4 linked regions of the Drosophila melanogaster genome follow. The gene in region 1 interacts genetically with each later gene. Each region holds a gene or a part of one and is shown in the gene's direction. Other genes may lie near its edges. The genes, in order: tor, drk, bowl and 14-3-3zeta.

The links.
Region 2: of tor (region 1) and drk, changing one suppresses a phenotype caused by changing the other (phenotypic suppression), as found in Drosophila melanogaster (2 studies listed by BioGRID).
Region 3: of tor (region 1) and bowl, changing one suppresses a phenotype caused by changing the other (phenotypic suppression), as found in Drosophila melanogaster (2 studies listed by BioGRID).
Region 4: of tor (region 1) and 14-3-3zeta, changing one suppresses a phenotype caused by changing the other (phenotypic suppression), as found in Drosophila melanogaster (2 studies listed by BioGRID).

What each region holds. Positions count from the first base shown.
Region 1 is NT_033778.4:7,704,653-7,710,926, reverse strand, and holds tor (torso), read left to right. Parts: upstream 1-1,742; 5' UTR 1,743-1,981; coding exon 1,982-2,134; intron 2,135-2,201; coding exon 2,202-2,432; intron 2,433-2,584; coding exon 2,585-2,822; intron 2,823-2,882; coding exon 2,883-2,965; intron 2,966-3,021; coding exon 3,022-3,190; intron 3,191-3,258; coding exon 3,259-3,564; intron 3,565-3,620; coding exon 3,621-3,956; intron 3,957-4,013; coding exon 4,014-4,185; intron 4,186-4,246; coding exon 4,247-4,745; intron 4,746-4,812; coding exon 4,813-4,907; intron 4,908-4,960; coding exon 4,961-5,083; intron 5,084-5,143; coding exon 5,144-5,281; intron 5,282-5,337; coding exon 5,338-5,511; intron 5,512-5,569; coding exon 5,570-5,624; 3' UTR 5,625-5,744; downstream 5,745-6,274. Other genes in the region: CG1941 (uncharacterized protein), read right to left, coding at 1-78, 134-231, 283-411; CG34216 (uncharacterized protein), read left to right, coding at 5,990-6,274. UniProt on the Drosophila melanogaster protein: Probable receptor tyrosine kinase which is required for determination of anterior and posterior terminal structures in the embryo.
Region 2 is NT_033778.4:13,499,806-13,504,827, reverse strand, and holds the start of drk (downstream of receptor kinase), read left to right. Parts: upstream 1-1,986; 5' UTR 1,987-2,137; exon of another isoform or gene 2,138-2,903; 5' UTR 2,904-2,937; coding exon 2,938-3,015; exon of another isoform or gene 3,016-3,354; intron 3,355-3,819; exon of another isoform or gene 3,820-4,207; intron 4,208-5,022. Other genes in the region: mars, read right to left, coding at 1-228, 286-1,792.
Region 3 is NT_033779.5:3,769,781-3,774,735, forward strand, and holds the start of bowl (brother of odd with entrails limited), read left to right. Parts: upstream 1-1,919; 5' UTR 1,920-2,093; intron 2,094-2,139; exon of another isoform or gene 2,140-2,235; intron 2,236-2,245; exon of another isoform or gene 2,246-2,536; intron 2,537-2,680; 5' UTR 2,681-2,914; intron 2,915-4,955. UniProt on the Drosophila melanogaster protein: Putative transcription factor. Required for leg joint formation, acting downstream of Notch to pattern the leg tarsal segments. Functions in the terminal pathway during embryogenesis, acting downstream of tll in the posterior of the embryo.
Region 4 is NT_033778.4:10,097,879-10,102,724, forward strand, and holds the start of 14-3-3zeta (14-3-3zeta), read left to right. Parts: upstream 1-1,798; 5' UTR 1,799-1,860; exon of another isoform or gene 1,861-1,972; intron 1,973-3,157; exon of another isoform or gene 3,158-3,299; intron 3,300-4,846. Other genes in the region: Jra (Jun-related antigen), read left to right, coding at 1-258; RpLP0-like (ribosomal protein LP0-like), read right to left, coding at 713-1,207, 1,268-1,515, 1,581-1,608. UniProt on the Drosophila melanogaster protein: Required in Raf-dependent cell proliferation and photoreceptor differentiation during eye development. Acts upstream of Raf and downstream of Ras, and is essential for viability.

The sequences.
Region 1 (6,274 bases):
TCTGCGGTCTTGACCAGCTGTACGGGAAAGTAGTCCCGATAATGCCGAAACAGCCAATTGTTGCGGTTAATTTTCCAGCTAAAATGGATTATTTTAGCTTTAAGTGTTCTTATAGGGACTTCATGACGCCTACCCATTGCCATCCATAATGGAGTGGGTTCTCTTGTGATTCGCGTAGACGTAGACCAAATAGATGACCATAATGGTGCGCCACAAAAGGCTTCCATAGAACTGGAAGGGAATGCTTTACTTTTCAAAATATTGAAGCACTGATGTATTTACCAGCACGGCAGCAACGAAGAAATAGGATCCAAAGGAGAGTATCATAAAGGATAGGATTAGGAAGGCCATGGCAAACGTCTGGCGACGCCGTTCCATGGGAACTCCTTTGGGAGCCCACTCGATTTTCATGATGTCAGAGCTCTCGAACTCGGAAAGTTGAACTACTTGGTAGCACGGTCCTCCGGCGACTGAAAAATGGAAATGTTCAATGTTTAGTTACCATTTCTTATCCTTATCAGTATCCGTCGGTGGCGCGAGTGCGTGGCTATTGGTTAGAGTTGTTAAAAAAATACCTTCGATTTAATGGCTATTCGCTTGGGGTGTTTAAAAATTCGAGCAATCAAGATAATGACTTGCTCTATATGGACGTCTGGCTAGAATGCCGATATGATATTATATGATATGATCTTATCATTGCCAACAACAGCCGGCTTTAACGTTTGTCCGATACTTGTGATCACATATATATAATTATTGTTTTGAAATTTCAATTGCAACTGGTTTGAATGCCTTTAGAAAGAGAACGAAACTGCTGTTGCACGACAACCTCCTCACTTTAATTGAATGGTGATAAAACTAACTGGGAGTTACTCGTATTGCTTTTGATCCGATCCGCTTTGGCCTAGTATCACAGGCTAATTATTTTAAACTTGTAGAGCTTTAATAAACTAGACGCTCCCATAGAAATTTATTATTAATGTTTACACACGTAATGGATCGTTATCGCGTTTGAGCAGCAGAACCGACGATGCGAGCGTACAACATTTAACTAAACTTGCGAGTGGCACTGAATGCTCGAGTTTCCCATGTGAGTGTTTCGAGTACTCGAATGCGATGCAACAATTGAGTCACCAATGTAATCGAGCGTTCTATACGAATAACCTGAATCAGAGGCAACTGAGGTCATGTGCATTTGCAAGTCGCTATAAGGAAATACCTGTATTGTCAGCTCTGTTCCAATTGAAATGGAATCAGGGAAAGTGTGATCACGCAAAAGCTACAATGTGGGCGAAATTAGCATAGTTGTTTTTTGGTTAATTTCGAATATTGGCGCCCAACATGGTTTCTAGGGATGGAAGCGACCAGCACTGCATTCTGATTTATCGGTTTGCTGCAATACAAGCTCTTTTGGCGCAACAGATCATAGAAGATTGAAATACAAACGTTGTTGGTGGTATCACAAATGAAAATTGCGAAGAGTTATCTGAAGTCAATGTTCTATGCTTATCCCAAGCCCTGGCGCTACTATGACGGAGTAGCGATCCAAATTTTTGCATTTCAAATGACCCCTAGTCCAATCCCATCCATACGATCAAGTACAATACGATGCAGTGAAGAGGTGAAAAACAAATCAAAACAAAATAGCGCAAAATATATTCAACGAGTCCGCCGCTTCTCATCATTCCTCCTTCTTCGTCGCTTTTTTACCATCGCATTTTTGGCCTCAGTTTCTCAGTTCTTTCTCAGTTCAGCAAGATAATCCGAGAAGGACGGATGGTATTGATCTCGAAAGTTGGAATCTAGAAACTAAGTATTCGAATTTGCTGTGTGTGTTATTGAGTTTTGTATCAAAGTGCGTGGTGGCAAAAGTGCAATAAACTTTAAGTCGGTTTTAAACAAATACACATTTCATTCCAACACACACACACCGACACACAACGAAGAACTAAAGAAGGGTTTCAAAAGCAGAACAAGGAAAATGCTTATTTTCTACGCGAAGTACGCATTTATCTTCTGGTTTTTCGTGGGAAGCAATCAAGGTGAAATGTTGCTAATGGACAAAATCTCTCACGATAAGACGCTTCTCAACGTCACCGCTTGCACCCAGAATTGTCTGGAAAAGGGCCAGATGGTATGTTTACACCCTTAGAATGTTGGAACACTCCATAACCAAAAGTGCATGCTTCTTTTCTCGACAGGATTTCCGAAGCTGTTTAAAGGACTGCAGGATTAATGGAACATTTCCCGGGGCTCTGCGCAAGGTGCAGGAAAACTACCAGATGAACATGATCTGCCGCACGGAGTCGGAAATCGTTTTCCAAATAGATTGGGTGCAGCACAGCAGGGGAACCGAGCCGGCTCCAAATGCCACCTACATAATCCGGGTGGATGCTGTCAAGGACGACAACAAAGAAACTGCGCTTTACCTGGTCAGATATTAGATGTAAACTCATTACTATTTACTTTAAAATACCATTTTATTTGATGAATTTCTAGAAAAAGATGTACTATGTAGTCATCAAGACCTAATGTTTCGTTTTACAAGTGGATCGCTCTTTTTCATCGACTTATTCGCTTGCAGTCTGATGACAACTTTCTCATCCTGCCGGGATTGGAGTCCAACTCTACCCACAACATCACCGCCCTGGCGATGCACGGAGATGGCAGCTACTCCTTGATAGCAAAGGACCAGACCTTCGCCACCCTCATCCGAGGCTATCAGCCCAGCAAAATGGGAGCGGTGAATCTGCTGCGGTTTGTCCCCCAACCAGACGACCTGCATCACATTGCTGCCGAAATCGAGTGGAAGCCATCGGCGGGTAAGTAGCTCCATCAGTTTAATCAATCAACGATCTACGAACCCTACTTTCATATTCCAGAGAGCAACTGCTATTTCGACATGGTGTCGTATTCAACCAACAGCGTGAATATGGACGAGCCACTGGAGGTGCAGTTCCGGGATGTGAGTATGCCATGACGCCCCTGCAATGCTAGAGCATAGCTAATCTTTTACTGCAGCGCAAAAAGCTGTACAGGCACACGGTGGACAACTTGGAGTTTGACAAACAGTATCACGTTGGCGTAAGAACGGTGAACATAATGAATCGACTGGAGAGCGATCTGCAGTGGCTGCCAATCGCTGTTCCAAGCTGCTTGGATTGGTATCCCTATAACTACACACTCTGCCGTAGGTTCCTCGAAAGTCCTATATAATAATAATATTAATAATAATAATATTGTTCCACCCTTTCATAGCACCCCATAAGCCAGAGAATCTTACTGTGACCCAGAAGCAGTATCTGCCAAATATTTTGGCCCTGAACATCACCTGGGCGCGTCCCAGATACCTGCCGGATAACTATACACTTCACATCTTTGATCTATTCAAAGGAGGTACGGAGCTAAACTATACACTTGACCAAAACAGGAGCCACTTCTATGTACCCAAGATCACGGTACTGGGTTCCCATTTCGAAGTACATTTGGTGGCCCAGTCGGCAGGCGGAAAAAACGTATCCGGTTTGACGTTGGACAAGGTTCATCGAGGTGTGTTGCTGAGCGGTACGTACGCTGAAGGAAATTAAATATTTAGACATCCATTTCCATCCATTGAACAGAGGGCAACATGGTCAAGTTGGTACTCTTTATTATCGTGCCCATATGCTGCATTTTGATGCTGTGCTCCCTGACGTTCTGCAGACGAAATCGTTCGGAGGTTCAGGCGCTGCAAATGGACGCTAAGGACGCGAAGGCCAGTGAATTTCATCTCTCCCTGATGGACAGCAGTGGCCTGCTGGTCACCCTCTCGGCCAACGAGAGTCTGGAAGTAATGGACGAGCTGGAGGTGGAGCCACACTCGGTGCTCCTTCAGGATGTCCTCGGCGAAGGAGCCTTTGGCTTGGTGCGACGTGGAGTTTACAAGAAACGCCAAGTGGCCGTCAAGTTGCTGAAAGGTTGTACCATTTGGTATTGAAGTTCTTGAATAATTCATGGAATTTTTGTTCTCACAGATGAACCAAACGACGAGGACGTATATGCGTTCAAGTGCGAAATTCAGATGCTCAAGGCCGTGGGCAAGCATCCAAATATTGTGGGTATCGTGGGATACTCCACTCGTTTTAGCAACCAGATGATGTTGCTAATTGAATACTGCAGCCTTGGAAGCCTGCAGAACTTTTTACGGTAAGTTATTTTTATACATATTGGAAAACAAGTGATGTATAGTAAAAAATGTATTACTTAGTGAGGAGTGGAAGTTCAGGCAGGAGCAAAATGCAATTGGACTTAAGAAGAACCTTGAACAGAACGTGGACAACCGACGGTTTAACCGACTCCCTAGAAATTCCATCCATGATCGCATAGAGGATATCAACAACTCGATGCTGTCCACTGTGGAAGAGGAGAGTGAATCGGATCAGACACACTCAAGTCGATGTGAGACCTACACCCTCACTCGAATAACCAATGCAGCCGACAACAAGGGCTATGGCCTGGAGGACATTGAAAACATCGGTGGGAGTTACATTCCCAAAACCGCTGAAGCTCCAAAGGATCGGCCAAAACGGAAGCTGAAGCCGCAGCCCAAGAAAGACTCGAAGCAGGATTTCAAATCGGACAACAAGAAGCGAATCTTTGAGAACAAGGAATACTTTGATTGCCTCGACTCATCGGATACCAAGCCCCGAATACCACTGAAATATGCAGATTTGCTAGACATCGCCCAACAGGTGGCGGTGGGAATGGTAGCCTACATCTACTCTATCCCTAAATGTAATTAAAAAGTGTAGCATGTATCATTTGCCATTTTAGGAATTTCTGGCCCAAAACAAAGTAGTGCATAGGGATCTGGCTGCCCGGAATGTTCTAATCTCCGTAGATCGCAGCATCAAGATAGCAGATTTTGGGTGGGTATCTCTGAAAGTTCAATGATTAGTTATATTGTGTTTTTTTTTTTAAGGCTGAGTCGAGATGTGTATCATGAGAACGTGTACCGAAAGTCCGGAGGAAGTGGCAAGCTGCCCATCAAGTGGCTCGCGCTGGAGTCCCTCACCCACCAGGTGTACACCAGTCAGAGCGATGTGTAAGTATATATTTTTGTTAAGTCCGAAGCGATTTTGTGGCTGATATCTTACCCTCTTAGTTGGTCCTTTGGTGTGCTGCTCTATGAGATCACCACTCTCGGTGGAATGCCATATCCGTCGGTGTCTCCCAGTGATCTCTTGCAGCTACTGCGACAAGGTCATCGGATGAAGCGACCGGAGGGATGTACGCAAGAAATGTGGGTATCAGTGCTTAGCGAAGTACATAATTGTTGATCACATTTGCTTAACTCAGGTTTTCCCTGATGGAAAGCTGCTGGAGCTCCGTGCCATCACACAGGCCAACATTTTCCGCCCTTAAACACAGACTTGGTGGCATGATTTTGGCCACTAACGATGTTCCAGAAAGGCTGAAACAACTGCAAGCTGCAACCGAGTCAAAATTAAAGTCATGTGACGGTCTAAACAGGTAAGTAATCTTTAAAAAGACAATTGTATACGTTACTTTCTTACCTTTTACAATTTAGTAAAGTGGAGCAAGTGCCATGCGAGGAAGAGCTATACCTAGAACCTTTGAATTAATAGTCATTGCTTCAAGATTATAATGAACGAGTGCAATACATTCTAAATTCGAGTTCCAATTCAGACAATGCTATGCGCCAGATAACCTTGCATAGCAATAAACATTAAAGCTAGCCTAAGAAAAATTTAATTTCTTTTTTATAAGAAAAACCAAGATATTTATAGAGTAAACTTCTAGCAGTGCCCTTTATGTCTCATAGAAACCGACCATTTCAAAATGTTTGTGCCTCCTTGCGGCTTAGGTTTCGAAAGAAGGTCGTTTATTTGGACCCCAATCAGCATCATTTTTGAAAATTCCAAATTGAAAGTCGGTCCAAGCTGGCTTGTTTACAGTGTTTCAATTCTACTTCTGGCCACCTCGATCGATGTGCATCCACTGCTGTCGCCTCCGCCGGACACCATGTCCACCGATTCCCTACAGCTGTCCACACTGCCCGGTGCGCACCATCTCCAGCTGCTGTCCACTGGGCAGTCGGCCCCTCGCCGAGAATCCTTTCATAAGAGGTCCGGATCGGGAGCCAACCCCCGATCCCTGCGACACCTTGCCACCGCGCTGGCTGGACCTCAATCGACGGGTCATATTTGCCTTGGCAAAAAGATTATGTCGATCTCCAGAGGCAGCTCATTATATTTTGCTTCGCCTGTTGTAT
Region 2 (5,022 bases), 5.8 Mb from region 1:
GCAGTCGGAAGTACAGAACCGATTCAATGGCACGGCGAACTTCCAAGGGCGATTCCTCATTGGACAGGTAGAAGCTATTGCGTTTCTCCTTCTCACAGCGCGAGTTCACCTTTCCCCGCGAGACACTAACAAACGGACTGAGATAGTTGGGCATTCCATTGGATTCGCGACGTGGCGGTGTCTTTGTACCCTCTGGCACCAAAGTGGAATCTCCAGTGTCTTCTTTAACTGAAAGGAAAATGTGAGTTTGAGTTTAAGATTGGAGAAGGCGTATCCCAAACTCACCCGTCGTCTGCTGAGGATCCAAGATGAGCGAGTCCTCCGCCGGCGAATTCGCCACTGAGTAACGCGTAAAGTCGAACTTTTTCTTTGCCACCGGACCTGACGCCTCTTTCTTACCTTCCGGCAGCAACTGCCTTTTCACCGAACTTTCTCCTTCAGCTTTGACCGGTGCCACCGGGCTCAACAAGATGGTGTCGCCAAACGCCTCCAAAAGATGACCGCTGCTATTGTTCGACTTGCACTGCGTTGATGTGGCCTGGTCGATAAAGGGATTATGGATATCGTCTAGCGGCGTGAGAGGCGGTATATCTAGCGTGGCTGCGTGCAGCAACTCGGCTTTGAGCTGAGGAAGCTTTCGCACGTTGTCCTGAAGCCTCGTGTACTGGCTCTTTATCTTGGTGGCCTTCATTCGTATGGAGTGACTTGCTGCCTTGCTGGTCGCTCCAGCTGTGTCCTTGAACTTGGCCGCGGCACCACCTCCGCCACGTATAGGCTGTGGTTTCACGACATTCGCCCGTCGTGTCACTGGTGCCTTGTTTCCTAAAGGTTTCTCGAACGGCTTGGACAACACATTGGGCAGTCTAGCTGTCCGTGGCGCTGGCGGCTCAGGTAATCTTGGCTTTGTGCTGACCACTGGTGGCTGTTGTCGTATGCCTGGCGTTTTCGCTTTCGTGACTGTCGCTGGGGTGGGTCTGGGTATGGTGGTAGTGATCTTTTTCGCTTCAATCCCAGGCTGCCTTACACTGGTAGTTTGCTTCGTTGTGTTGGGAATGGGTCGTGCAGCTGCTTTTTGCCTGGCCAAGGCCACTGGATTGTTGTTCTGACGAATTGCAGGCACTATTTTTGTTGCAGAAGCAGCTGATTTATGCCTGGCCAAGGCGGAAGATGCAGCCACGGTATTGGATGACGGAGGAGCTGCTGCTGACGTTGGCTTGGGTATTGAAGGTTTAATCGGTTCTGCGGCTTTTCCCTTGCCCGTCGGATTGGCAATCATGTAGAGAGAACACCGCTTGGGAGGCTGGAACATGGGAGCCGCCTCCTTCTGCTTTGCAGAAGCCAGATTATCGGGAACCCGAAATGTTTGTGATTTGGGCAAGGCCTTTGATTGTTTTACTGTCGGCACATTGATGGCTGCGCCTCGACGTTTCTGGTCTTGCTGCTTATGCTCCTTGGTCTTGGCTATCTTCCACTCCATGTAGCGTTGTAAGTAGAGCTTCTGGCGGGAGACCTTCGGGTTGGATTCCTTCAGCAGTTCTGCGGGCTTCGTGTCCAGCCGCTCCGGACTCTCCAGTTTGGGTGCCACATTTTCCTGGGTCAGAGCAGCTTGGGCCGCCGCCAATTGCTTTATTTTGACGGGCGTCGGGCTCACGCTGATGATGCGGTTCTGATAAAAACAATCCTCTCGTTTTTTGGCGCGCGCCGCCTGCAACCGATCCCTGTTCTCCTGGCAGTGATTGCGCGGACTCAGCACCAGCGATTGCTCCTTGTACAGTTCCTTGTGGCGCTGCATGGCGACTGCTGTGACGGATGGGCGAGTCAAACTGAAGTGTCCGGTTGGGAATGAAACGTAATGCTGACTTTTCCGGCGAAGCGTCTCCTGTTTTGATTTTTAAAATGGCGAAGCGTCTTGCGGTGTGACCAGGTGAAGGAAAACTACGAAAGCCCTGCGGTATGCCTCTCCCACAGTGTTGTGTTCAGTATATTTTCTTGGAATAATAAAGCGACCCGGCCACGGTCACGCTGCTATGAAAATAAAAGTGAATTACAAATTTAGCAGTAGTAATATGTTAGCCAAACCGCTCCCGCGCCTAATTAGTGTCGCTTAAGCTTGCAGCCACCCTAGCCCTTTGAAATTGTAAGCCCGGCGGCCTCTTTGCACGTGCCAGAGACTCGAAAATAGTTAGCCGCAACTTACGCATATAGAAATATAAGCGCCGCGTGTGTGTGTGTGTGTGTGTTTATTGGGGTTACAAAAAATAAAACAAACAACAACGTCACCGCGGCAGCATTGCCAACAGCAAGCACCCACGCCCTAGATTGCCAAATGTTAATTGTGTTCTAAGCGACACATTTCATATTATTTAAGGCAAATTACTTCGCATAACAACAAGTAATAGCCAAACATCGTCTAATTGCTTTTGCGGTACCTGCTTTTCCCCGAAATTCCAAATCGCAAGCTGCTGGCAACGCTGCCACGCTCACGCACACACACCCACACAGTGGCCGCCGTGGAGAGAGCGGCTCGTGTCTGTGTTCATTCTCTGTTGCTGCTCCGCCTGGGAATGTCGTCGTCGTCGGTGTATTTTTAATCGCTTTCTTCCCTTGCCTTCGCACAAGATATATTATTATTAACCGAACTGAGAAAAGCGCACTGCCGAATATCCATGATTTATCGTTTATATAATGTGCGCTAACTAATCGCGGATTCGTCTCGTTTCGTTTTCATTTCCACAGCACTGAGTAGTGAGTGAGAGAGAAATTCAAAGAGAGTTAGAGAGAAAGAGCAGAGAACGAGCGTGTGTGTCTGTGCCTCTGTGTGTGCGTGTGTGTGGTGCATCAAGGCTGATAGAACTAAATCCAAAACTACAATTGCAACTAAATTTTAAAACAAACTCCGAAAGCGTTTTCTAACTGCGCACAAAACAACACAGCAAAATGGAAGCGATTGCCAAACACGATTTCTCTGCGACGGCTGACGACGAGCTGAGTTTTCGCAAAACTCAGATTCTAAAGGTGAGTGCTGTTCCAAAATCATCAATTCCCACCTCAAATCATAATATCTGCATTTATTCATAGACTTCACACTGAATGGGGGCACGCAAGGGTGTAAGGGGGTGCACAGGGGGACGTGGCAGGTCCTGCATGCATAATCCGCTGCGATGCAGCTGCCGCCGTCCAGGTCGTTGCCTTAACCCACATCCTAGGTTCAATCCCCAGACAGATTTTGTTACTAAATCGCGACCAAACAGACAGCAGTCGCAAAAGCTGGCTAAAGAGTTTCAAAAGGTGCATTCGCAGAAGGCAACACGAAAGGATTACGACTCATTAGCCACCGCAGCCCGAATACTCTTACTAGAACGAAAAGATTCAGTCAAATATATTCCACTATCAGTACAAAATCCTTGTGAAGCATCACATACTGAAATATTGTACATTCTACTCTACATTTTTTCATTTCTCAACTGCACTTCAAATCTATCAAGACCATATTTTTGACCCCATTTAATCTGCATATAGTTGTGATTAGCATTACAAAGTAAGTTTAAAAAATGATGTGAGGAGGGGGTTTCTAAAGCTATAAACATGCATATATGATTTAATCTATATACTATACTTTGCAAATCTAGCATTTTTCACTGTGTTTCCTTGAATGAACTTATTTATTGTTAGCATTCCTATAGTATATATACTATTTCAACTTTCCTTATTCGTTTTCTTCCGAATGCTTAGAAAAACAATTCCAACAGTTTGTAGTGATGATATATTCGATGCCCCCTTTGACTTTGCGGAACTTTGTGGGGGACATCCGATGCTTACCCGTGTTGCTTGTATTCGCTGGCTTTTCTGGCCAAGAAAAAGGCTGCTGGCAGGCTGCGATTCGATCTTTTTCGCCGCCTTGCTTCCTTCCAGGTGTTTGTGTTTGTGTTGGCTCACTGGCTCGATGGCTGGCTGGCTGGCTGTCCTAGGCCAAACCCTTTGTTTTGGCTGGCGAATTTTCCGGTTTCTTGTTGCCAGGGCGCGATGTAAGCTGATTTTCGTTGCTGTGTGTCTACCTTGTCGTAGGTTAGTCACAGCAGGAACCCAGGCCCGTGGCAGGTTTTCTCCCTTTTTGTGCCTCTTTTTTTTGCGCCTCTTTTCCATATGCCGCCGCTGCATTTGCAGCATTTGTTGCTGCTGCTGCCGCTGCTGCTGATTGATGGTGTCAATGACTCGCCGAAGAGGCTTCTTTATCGCCGCCCGAAGGTCAAGTGTGTGCGCTGCTCCCGTCCATTAGAGGGGCTTCTACGCCGTAGATGAGCCCTCTGTCCAGCTGCACGGTCTTATCAATGGGTAAACAATCCGCACTGATAGTCATAGTTCGTTTAATAGCCCATAGTTCTGGGCTCCATTGATGCGGGGGATAAATAGAAATACACGATTATCTCGCATTGGAGATATGTATGTTACGCATATCTGTTCGAACTCCCAGCGCATTTGTTTGTTTGCCAGCGATTAGTCACTTCTCGATAGCCTTATCTGAAAAGATGCCCCAATCCAGCAAACATACAGCAGGCATAGAAGGCGATAGAGAGAGGAGCGCTGTGAATCATCAAACATTTCATTGGGGTTCGTTCTCTTTCCAGAAAACTGGTTTACAGGTCAGCGTATTTCTTGGATATTTGGAGCTCCATTTTCCAAAAAAAAAAATGCCTCCAATTCTAACGGCCTTGTTGTGTGGGCACCAAAAGTGGCCACGTTTTATCATAACAATGTGAAACACACGAAATGGGATTCTGTGCTCAACTTTCGCTTGTCGCGAAAACAGCGAAAAGTGAACGTTCGTGTTGCTTTGACACTTTTTTCAGCGTCGGATTTCCGAAACGACAATAGAATTTTTTCTCTAGTAATTACATAAGCATACGAGTATAAACAATTGATAATAACAATCATGGCCACTACGTGCCTGCCTTCCGAAAGCGCCGCTAAATATTTATGCATTATCCAACAGGCACATTGCACATTGCCTGCACTGAAAAAAAA
Region 3 (4,955 bases), on another chromosome or scaffold:
AATTTCAAGTAATTTATTTTAAAATCGTAAAGCGATGCAAAATATGCAAGGAGGGAAGCCACTTCAACCGACGGGCACTCAGAAAAATCACAACGATCTTATGGTTCGCATTAGCATATATATCTTATTTGTACATCTTTATTTTAAGCAAAAAGAGCAAGGTAAGGGTTAGATATTAGATATTATTATTAAACAATAGTCAATTTCAATTTTATGTATTGTGGAATCCAATTATAAGGGAGACCAATTATGGTAATTATTTATTTTATTTCTTATTTACTTATTGTTATTTATATATGCTGAAAATTATTTTCCGAGTGCAGCAAGAGCAACAGTTGTTGATGGGGGAAGTCGACGACGACTAGCATAACAATTCGCTCGCCCTATGAGGCAGCTACCGTTTTTCCGTCTTCTCTTTTCTACCACTTATTTCTGGTCTTCTGCCTGTTGCCGCTTTGTATCTCCATTTCCACTTACTGTTTTTGCAGTGGCAGCAGCCACAATTTAGTTCCACTGTGCAGCACCTTAATTACATGGCTACGGACTCTCTTTTGTTGGGTACTTTTCGGGTTTTTCTTTTCTGCATCTCGGAATCATTACGACCATGATCACCGTCGTGGCCGAAACGTAACTCCCTCTACTTTTGGGACCCTAGCTGATTTTTGGTCTTTTTGTTAACGTCTTTTCTTTTACCACTTGACCGCATTGATGCTGCATTGCGAGCAGAGGTTGCCAGATTGTTAGAATAGAAATTTTACAGTCTATTATAATAATATAAGACCTATTTACATAGCCTAGCTCGAATCAATCATTTACCTATGTTTTATTTTTTTCCAAGTTCCCGTGCTCGCCTTCTTTTATAAGGACTAATTACCATTAATAAAAGTCAGTCTGGCGATAAGATGGTTTCTAGACTTATATTGTTTTACGACCTATTTCCATAAATGAATTGTATAACTCGGCTGCCGATTAATCATCAGTGTATATTTAAATACATATGTATAAATATTTTTCCCTAAAGCTACCAACTAATTATTCCAAATAAATATTTACTTATCAGTAGAACATTGGAACTTGTCATAATATAGATATATAGTCGTGTGAGTAATGCACTTTATTTCACCCCAACTTTCGACTTGGCAACCCCTTCTTCGAAGAAACCTTATCACCTTGCCTCCCTAAAAATGCTTTCTGATTAGTCATTCCCCTAAATGAAACCGCAACAAAAGCCGAAGAACAAAATACACCCCCACTAAAAAGGCATAACAATAAACAGGGAACTACCAGAGTTACACCCTCCTCCTCCTTTTCGGGTGAAGCCACCATAACGATCCATGGGCAGCAGCAGCAACGGCAATCTGGCAACACCCGGGCCAATTGTACCCTACCCTCTCGACTGGGCCAAAAAAAAAAAAGCAGTCGGTGGTAGTCGGTAGTCGGTCGGTAAACAGGTAGCGCTCTAACTGACAATAACTCGTCGTACGAATGCACGTTCCACGCTCCGCCAGTGCCAGTCTCCATATAAGTCCGTCCACGGGCCCATCCGTCCATTTAGCAGCGTGCGACTGGCGGCCGGTTGGGTTTGGGTTGAGTTCGGTTTAATTCCTCTCCTCCACTGAAAGAAATGTCGTACTATATTCAAACTGAATATAAGTTACTAGTTAATTCAGAAAAATATGTAAATGCATCCATTATTTATCTAGTATATTTAAGCAGATAGATTTATACTGTTGTTATTTACAGAAAATTAGAGCCTTACTCTTCAGATATTTAAGAATTGTTAAAACTTTTTCCACAGTGCACTAAGCTGGTTTTAGTGCCACTGCTCGCTACTCGTCGCTTGTCTCTTTCTACGCATTTCTCAGCCCGCGATTCTCTCGATTCTCTCTTTTTCCATTCGGGCCCTGTTTCTTGGGTTCGTGGCTCAGTCTTCGAGAGTTGATCGTGGCCAACGCACCTGCGCGCGGATCGCTGGTAATAGCTGTTGGAAAAGTGAACTGCATTGTGAGTGCCTCTCGCTCTATATCTATCTGTATCTTTCGCCGCCGATGTATCTTATTGAGCGGGCCCAGAGCGCTAGTGTGTGTGTGTGTGTGAGTGAACTTGTTGCATCGCCAGTTGCCTCGAGAAAAGCGCTTTTCAACTGCAACTGACTCTGTGTGTGGGAAGAGTTTGGGACTACTTGAGGAGCGAATTGGTAGCTGCACTGGCTTCAGCTCCTATTTCAAACAAAATGTAGAAAAACACATTTCAGCTGCCGTGTATCTCTCGTTCTCGTTCGGTTTTCAGTTCGTTGAGGTTGAGGTTTCGGTTCGGGTTTTTCTTCGTTCGGTTTTCATATCTGTGAGATACAAATACATCGTGTGTTTGTGCGCGAGTTGTACGTGGATTTTGGAAGGAAAAAAACTACGTGGTTTGTGGTAGCTGACTGCCGTTGATGCTGCTGCTGCTCCCGTAACCGCCCCCCTGCCGCCCCCTCAGCCCCACCCCCTGGGGCGATCGTGCCGTGATTTGAATCTCAAAATTGTCCCTTAGTGTGCGTGTTTTTTTAAATACATTTACTTGAGAATGATTCGGTGAAATACTTGTTAAAATTAAAATCAAACCTGAAAATATAACAAAAAATTTCCGACAAATATTTTGAAAATTTTAATAAAATTATTTACTTTTAAATTCACAGAATCGTATTAACAGAAGTCTTCAAACAAATACAACAAGAAAAAACAACATACAATTCAAGTGCCACTTAAATGATATAAATTACTACTTTAAAAACCAAAAACAATGCCAAGCATTTCAAAGCTTACAAACTGACAAAAAACCAGCAAAATCATATTGAAACAACTACTTGGATACTTTAGGACGCAAAGATAAAGCCCAAAGAGCCTGGGGCTTTCTTCTGTTTAACCCACAGGTAAGATTCCGCCGAGAACAGGCCCTGCCTTCCCAGATGAACACAAAAATTCCACACCACTTATTTTTACTTGTTTTATTTTTTGTTGTTTTTTTTTTTGTTTTCTGTTTGTGGCGTAGGGCTAGCTAATTACGTTTATTATTTTTTTATTTTGGTATTTTTTGCGTTGGCCAAAAAGGCAGCGAGTACAAAAATATAACGAGTACGCAGACAGAGAAGGAGAGAGAGAGAAAGACCCAAGATATATCTCAAAACCTGCTCCACAAATAGAATGAGACGGGGCGAAAAAACAGGAAAGAGAGCGCAACAACGTTGGCGGTTGGCGGACTGTCGACCGACAAGCGGCTTCCACTACAACTGCATGTGCCACTGTCATTGCCACTGAACTCAGTGTGGTGCCGCACAGTCCACGGTGGAGTACGTCCCCCATCCCCCCGCAAACTTCCCCACCATCCTGAACCACCCGCTTGCCCCATTGTTGTTGCTGTGGCGCTCAGTTCGAGTTGGTCGGTTCGAGCCGGACTCGAAAAACCTTCGCTTGGAATTCTGGGGGTCTCTTATGGGTGCTCTTGGTAAGGGTACTTCGTTTGAAAATGGTGTACACAATTTGTAAAATATTATTTAAAAATATTAATCGGTGTTAATAACGTTACATTTCTGAAAAACTTTAATTTTACAGAATTTCAAAGCATCGCGTTAGGTTTTAAAAATATATTTTACGAAATTTAGGCAAACTTAGTTTAATAAGCTGATAGTTTATAAGCTTCTTATTTATTCCAGTGTTTTTTTTTCAACAAGTCTACTCTAGTTTGATCTATAGTATTATTTACTTATTTTGCCTAGGGTATTAAGTGCATCGGCTTTATAGATCGTGATTTTTCACATGTTTCTTTCATTTCTGTTTCTTTTCTTTGTAAACCAGTTCACTTGTAGCCAGTGCCAGTGGCCAGTGGTCGCTCTCGCCGTCTTTTTCGCTCCTTCTCGGCTTGGAATCCGGTTTTTTTGGTTTTCTGTTTTCGGTTTTCGGTCGTGGTCGCTGTCTTAACTTGGCTCGATTCAGATTCGGAGCTCGGCTGGGGCTTTAATTGTCCAGAACGTGTGGCCAAAGAGGAAACGCAATTGCCGCAAGCTTCTGTTGGGTTCAGATACCGATTCGGATTCGGATTCAGCCTCAACCTCAGACCATCATCATCATCGTCATCTACATCTCTTGATTTCTTTTAAATGCTTTACTTTTTCCTTCATTTTTAAGCTTTTTTTTTGTAGAACGCCTCCCGCGCTCTCACAGTCTGAGTTATTATTATTTTTTTTTTGTATTTTTTGGTTGCGGTTCTATAAAGTTATTGGCTTTTGTTTCGCCTCAGTGGAGATCTATTTTGGATATTCATTGTCTTGCTTTATGGGCCATTTGGTTTTGTGTCCAAAAAGAGTTTTAGCATAAGAAAGGGAGTACCATAAAAGTTTATTACGCTTTACCTCTTTGGGTGGGTTTTCCTCTCCATCTTGGGCCACCAACTATCATTTTTCGGTTGCACCAGCAGCAGGGGAAAATGTTGCTGGTAATTGCCTTGTGGCAGGAAAATTGAAATCGAAATTAATTAAAATCGTGACAAAATACTTGATGAATTTAGATTTACCATAAAACCGCAGAACAATGGCTCGTTAGGGATCGCCATATTCGGGTTTTAAATTGAAATGGCTATATGGACACGCCTCGTTTTGGCACGTGTGTATAATTCACCTGATAGACCAGTTCATTTATTGTTGTTCTGGAACGGGAACTCATCAATTTTGATGGGGAAATTAGATGTTGTCTAGGGAATATGAATTTTTAATGCTATCAATGAAATCAGACAGCGGAAAGGTGATTATCAGTTTACATGTTTAGTTTTGGGCTGGGTTCCAAAAGTTGTCGAAGAAAAAAATATATAAATAATTTGTACCAAGATTTGTGTGCAATTAGCATAATCCAATTGCATTTGAATTAATAAATCATAGTCTTAGTGCTTCTACACTTATTAGCATAAACTCTTCCAATAAA
Region 4 (4,846 bases), 2.4 Mb from region 1:
ATTGACATGGAAGCGCAGGAGAAGATCAAGCTGGAGCGCAAGAGGCAGCGTAACCGTGTGGCTGCATCCAAGTGCCGCAAGCGCAAGTTGGAGCGCATCTCAAAGCTGGAGGATCGCGTGAAGGTACTTAAGGGCGAGAACGTCGACCTGGCTAGCATCGTGAAGAACCTCAAGGACCATGTGGCGCAGCTGAAGCAGCAGGTGATGGAGCACATTGCCGCGGGCTGCACGGTGCCGCCGAACTCGACAGACCAATAACATTTGGAGTTGTCAGCCGGGGAGAATGATGAGGAGGACGTGGCACTGGAGACTGAAACCCCCTCGAATCCTGAAGATCCCGAGCAACCCATGCCTCTGGAATTCTTTTCAAGTGCTAGCACCGGTGCCTTGGAGCTGGAGGGCTCGGCCTCTCAGGATATTTCCCTAACTAACAGCGAACTCCTGGAGGAGGAGAGCGATAACGAACAGCCTCTGGTGCTCTACATCCTCGCGGACGACGCAACCTGAGGCTTTGTGCCTTTCTTTGGTTTTAGCTGCAATATCTGAAATGCTTCTTAAGTGTTTTGTTTACTTAGTTATTAGTATAAGCTAGTGTTAATCAAGTATTATCTGTGTTGAACGTAAGATAATATGTAATGTACTTTTAAAATATACGTATATTTTCTGCACTTGATATATACATAAAAAAATTATTTCTACGCCTTAAACTTATTTATTCATCATCCTCCTCTTCGTCATCATCGTCGTCGTTGTCATCCATGGCCTCGGCCTCGGCCTCCTCTTCCATTGCGCTATCAGCCTGTTCCTCGTCGTTCACATCATCCTCGACATGCAGCTGGAAGCCTTCGCTTTTTGTCCACGAGCACTTCATGGTCAGCCGAAATTTGGCCATGGGCTTGCCCACCAGCTTGAGGATTCTCGCCTGTTCGGGTGTTAGAACTTTGCCCTCCTCACAAACCGTGTAGTCACTGTACAGCGTAACGATTCCCTTCTCCAATTTGGTGGGCAGGCCCAGGGAACGCAGATGCGGTTCCATAGAGTGGGCGAAGTCCTCTAGGGGACCTGCTGGCAGGGTAACCGTTTCCGTGGCCACAAAGCCACTGCGTGCGTATTCCACGGCCCAGTAGTTTTCTGCCCACTCCAGGACTTCCTCCTTGGATTTGTCCGTGAAAAGCAGTCCCACCTGGCCAGTTAATCGCTTGGATAGCTAATAGACATAGCCTGTGATTAGTGTCTGATATATGTTAATCCACTTAAACTTAATTACCTTGTGCAATTCCGGCTCCACTTCCTCGCTCTTCGTGCGACCCAAGCCAATCTGCATAACACGATTCTTGCCAAAGATAAAACGAGAATTCTTTTTCAACTCCTGTCGCAGATCCTTCAGCAAGCTATTCCTCATGTTCTGAACTTGGAAAACGAATATATTTGGGTATTTGCCCACGCAGAACCGAATGTCGTCCACAATGCGCTGTTTCCAAGCCAGACCCTTGCGGTCGGTTTTGGTCAGGGAAACTAAGGGAAGAAGAGTATCGCACGTTATAAGTACAAATCGTATATATTAAAGCCGAAACTCTCACCTTTCTTATCACGTTTGGAGCGCGGCATATCTGTAGCCTTTAAATAGCAACGTTTTCTTAACAGAAACCAAGAATATTTCCCACCGAACGTAAACACGTGCGGCCTTCTAGAGATGGTAAATGTTCCTAACCAACAATCGATAGCTCTATCGTGTATCGGAATTTCGCACCGTGCGGGTTGGAAAATTCCTGCGGGCCAATCCCTACTTCAGCTTTCCTCGTTTTCCAACACATCTGCGCGTAGAGAAGAAGAAGAACCTTCACGTCCGAGCCGTAAGAGGTGAATTAACTAATTAATAAGTGCTTGCTCGTTTAAAACTAAGTTAAAAGTCGTGTGCTGAGAGCCCAAGGATTACGCATATATTCGATATTCGCTTGAAAACCCAGGCGCAGTAAGTAGTTTCACCTAGTGCGTCGTGTGTCGGCTTGCGACCGCCATATTGTCGGCGGATAAAATTTTCCCCGAATAAGTGCGCCCACGCACTTTATCGATTCCGTTGGCCTCCTAATTGGATGCCACCTGCCCCTTGGGCTCTCCGCATTTGATTGCGTGCGGTACTGGCCTTGCGAAAATCCCATTACAATTGGAAATGGACGTAGCAATTTTTCATTACCGCAACCAAATAGGACGCCGATGACGTAATTTTTTCCGTCTTGTTCTTTGTGAGCTGTAGTAAAATGTAGAGATGAGCGCGTGAGCATGTCTTCGCCACGCACGAGTTGAATTGCAATACACTTACACGATTATTTAGAAAATTCCTCGTACACCTAATTACCGTTTTTTTTTTTTAATGACTTGAACATTATGCTTAATGTAATACAAAAACATCATAGAATATTAAATATATTTTCTTATTGTATAATTAACAATAGAAGAAGACTCAAAAGAATATACTCTAATTTTGTCGAATTATCCCATATTGACAGGACTAAGTATAATTAGAACTAGAAATTGATTGTTAAATCCTCGCCTTAACTTCCGGCCCACAATCGTAGGCCCTGCCTCACCTCACGAAAATCATAAGTACGTGGATATCTCGTTTTTATGTGTGAGTGCACCAATTCAATGAAATCCAAATTAGAATTAAGGCAATTTACCGCCACCCCCTTATCAATGGCATACATCTCCCGATTAGTTTCCTCCTTGCGGAGGCCATAAAGTCAAGATAAAAGCGTAATCTGGCAGCGAGATAAGCGCTCGAAAGTTTCAACAGGTTGGAAACGAACTATAAACTATTACTTCATAAAACGATGATAACACAAAGACTTGACAATAAAAGCTGGCTCATTTTAAAGCTCTCTATCTACAAGTTCTGAGACGCCTATTAATTAGTATATTTTATCTGAAAGTTTGGTTTCCAAGTTTTACCTGCACACCTGGCAACATTAATTTATACAGCAGGTTGGCAACCCTGAAACTCTCTCACTTGTCGCACTTTCTCGCTCTCGCCTGAGCCAGCCCCATATGCTCCCTCTCATTCTGCGGCGGCGCATGTGCCCCTGCTAGAGTGTGCGTGGGGAGAGAGCGCAGAAACACAGATACAGCGGCGCGGCGAATGTGTGCAACCTTTGCCGTCCGTCATTCTCATTCGTTCGTTGGTAGTGTTCGTTGTCGTTTCAGTTTCAGTTAATCGAGAATGTAAGTAACATTTTTGCTGGCCCAGAGTGCCTTGTACCTATGTGTGTGCGCCTGCCAGTGTGTGTATGGAATTATAAAACGTAAAATTGCTAAAATATCCGAAGAAAAAACACGTGTAATGCCGCCTATGAGCAATCACTTACATGCATCTATACTTCGTCCCGCAGAAAAATCGAAATACATAAATCAGACATCGATCCGAAGCCAAAAAAAAAAAATCTACGCAAAAGAATAAAGTGTAAATTTGTGCAAAATAAGGAAAAGAAAAGAAAATGAAAGAAAAGAACATTCCCGAGTTGCCCGAGTATTGGTGCATGTATGTGATGCGGTGAGATTCGCTTGTAGCTTCGTATTTCTCATCATCATCAGCAGTTCATCGGTTAAGTTGTAGGCGGCGGACATAGCCGACTTCTATATTTACGCTTATATAGCCAGCTATATGTACACACAGTACGCCAAGATAGATATATATATATATATATCCAAGTTGATACTTGGATGGGGACACGCGGTTAGGTGGGTTTCCTCGCCAAACTCAACACACTTGGCGGCCGCCTGTGGTAGATACATTTCGGCCTCTCTCTGCGGCGTTCTCCGCTCTCTCCCTCCCTCCCACCTCGCTCCTCCTTTCTCCCGATTATTTTTATAATTTTGTAGCGCCGCACTTGGAAACACGATTGGCGGCCCCACCAACACCATCTCACCCATCCGCACCACCATTACCACCACCACCCAGAACGCACCGACACACGCAGAGTCGCACGCACACAGCCCCAATAAAAGTTAGTAACTTTTTCGCCCCATGTAGAGCCGCAGTAGCGGTATCTACAGTGTAGAGGAATTTCTACATCATCGGGGATTGGGTTCTTGCTCGGCTCGGTCTCGGGGGGTTTGGGGGGGGGGGGGGGGTTCTTGAGCTACTGCGCATGCTGTCGGCCGGCGCAGATAAGGTTTAAAGTACCAAGTATCCATCCGACACGGATTTCGCAGGATTTTCTAGCCCCGAAATTAGCCTGACCATATGGGTGTTAAACCGTCCTCTAAGGTCTACGTATCTATAACTTCGAGATACCCACCTCCCACCTGTTTTTCCCCCTATTTACCAATTTATTCATTCAGGCAGATGAGCAATCTGCGTGGTTGAAACAAGTTTTTCCTCCTTTGATTTATCCGATAAAAACTACAAACATATTTGTGACCATTTAGGGGAGTGTTACGTTAATTTACGTTACGCCTGGCTTAATGTTTTGGCATTTACCGAGCACAGGCAGAAAACATGCCAATTGACCTAAAAACGCGTCGGGAGACCGCACCGCACCCTCCCCCTTCCATATTTTTGCTACGCCACGCCCCGCCGCCCTTTTTGTTTTGACAAAGGGTCAATGCTTTTTCAATTTGGCGGTCGGTCGCAACACAAATAATAGCTGTTTTCATATGGTTTAAACTTCAATTGGTTGGTTTTTAGGCAACTGCGCAGAAATCAGCATTTATAATTGCTTCTGCCAATGTTACTGGGTCTTTGAAACTAGTTGTTAGCTTCAGTAAAGAACATTTGTATGGGGTTTCAAACATTTTGGAGACTATTTTTCACCTAACCATTTCAATGTAGCAACTATTCAGCGGTCGC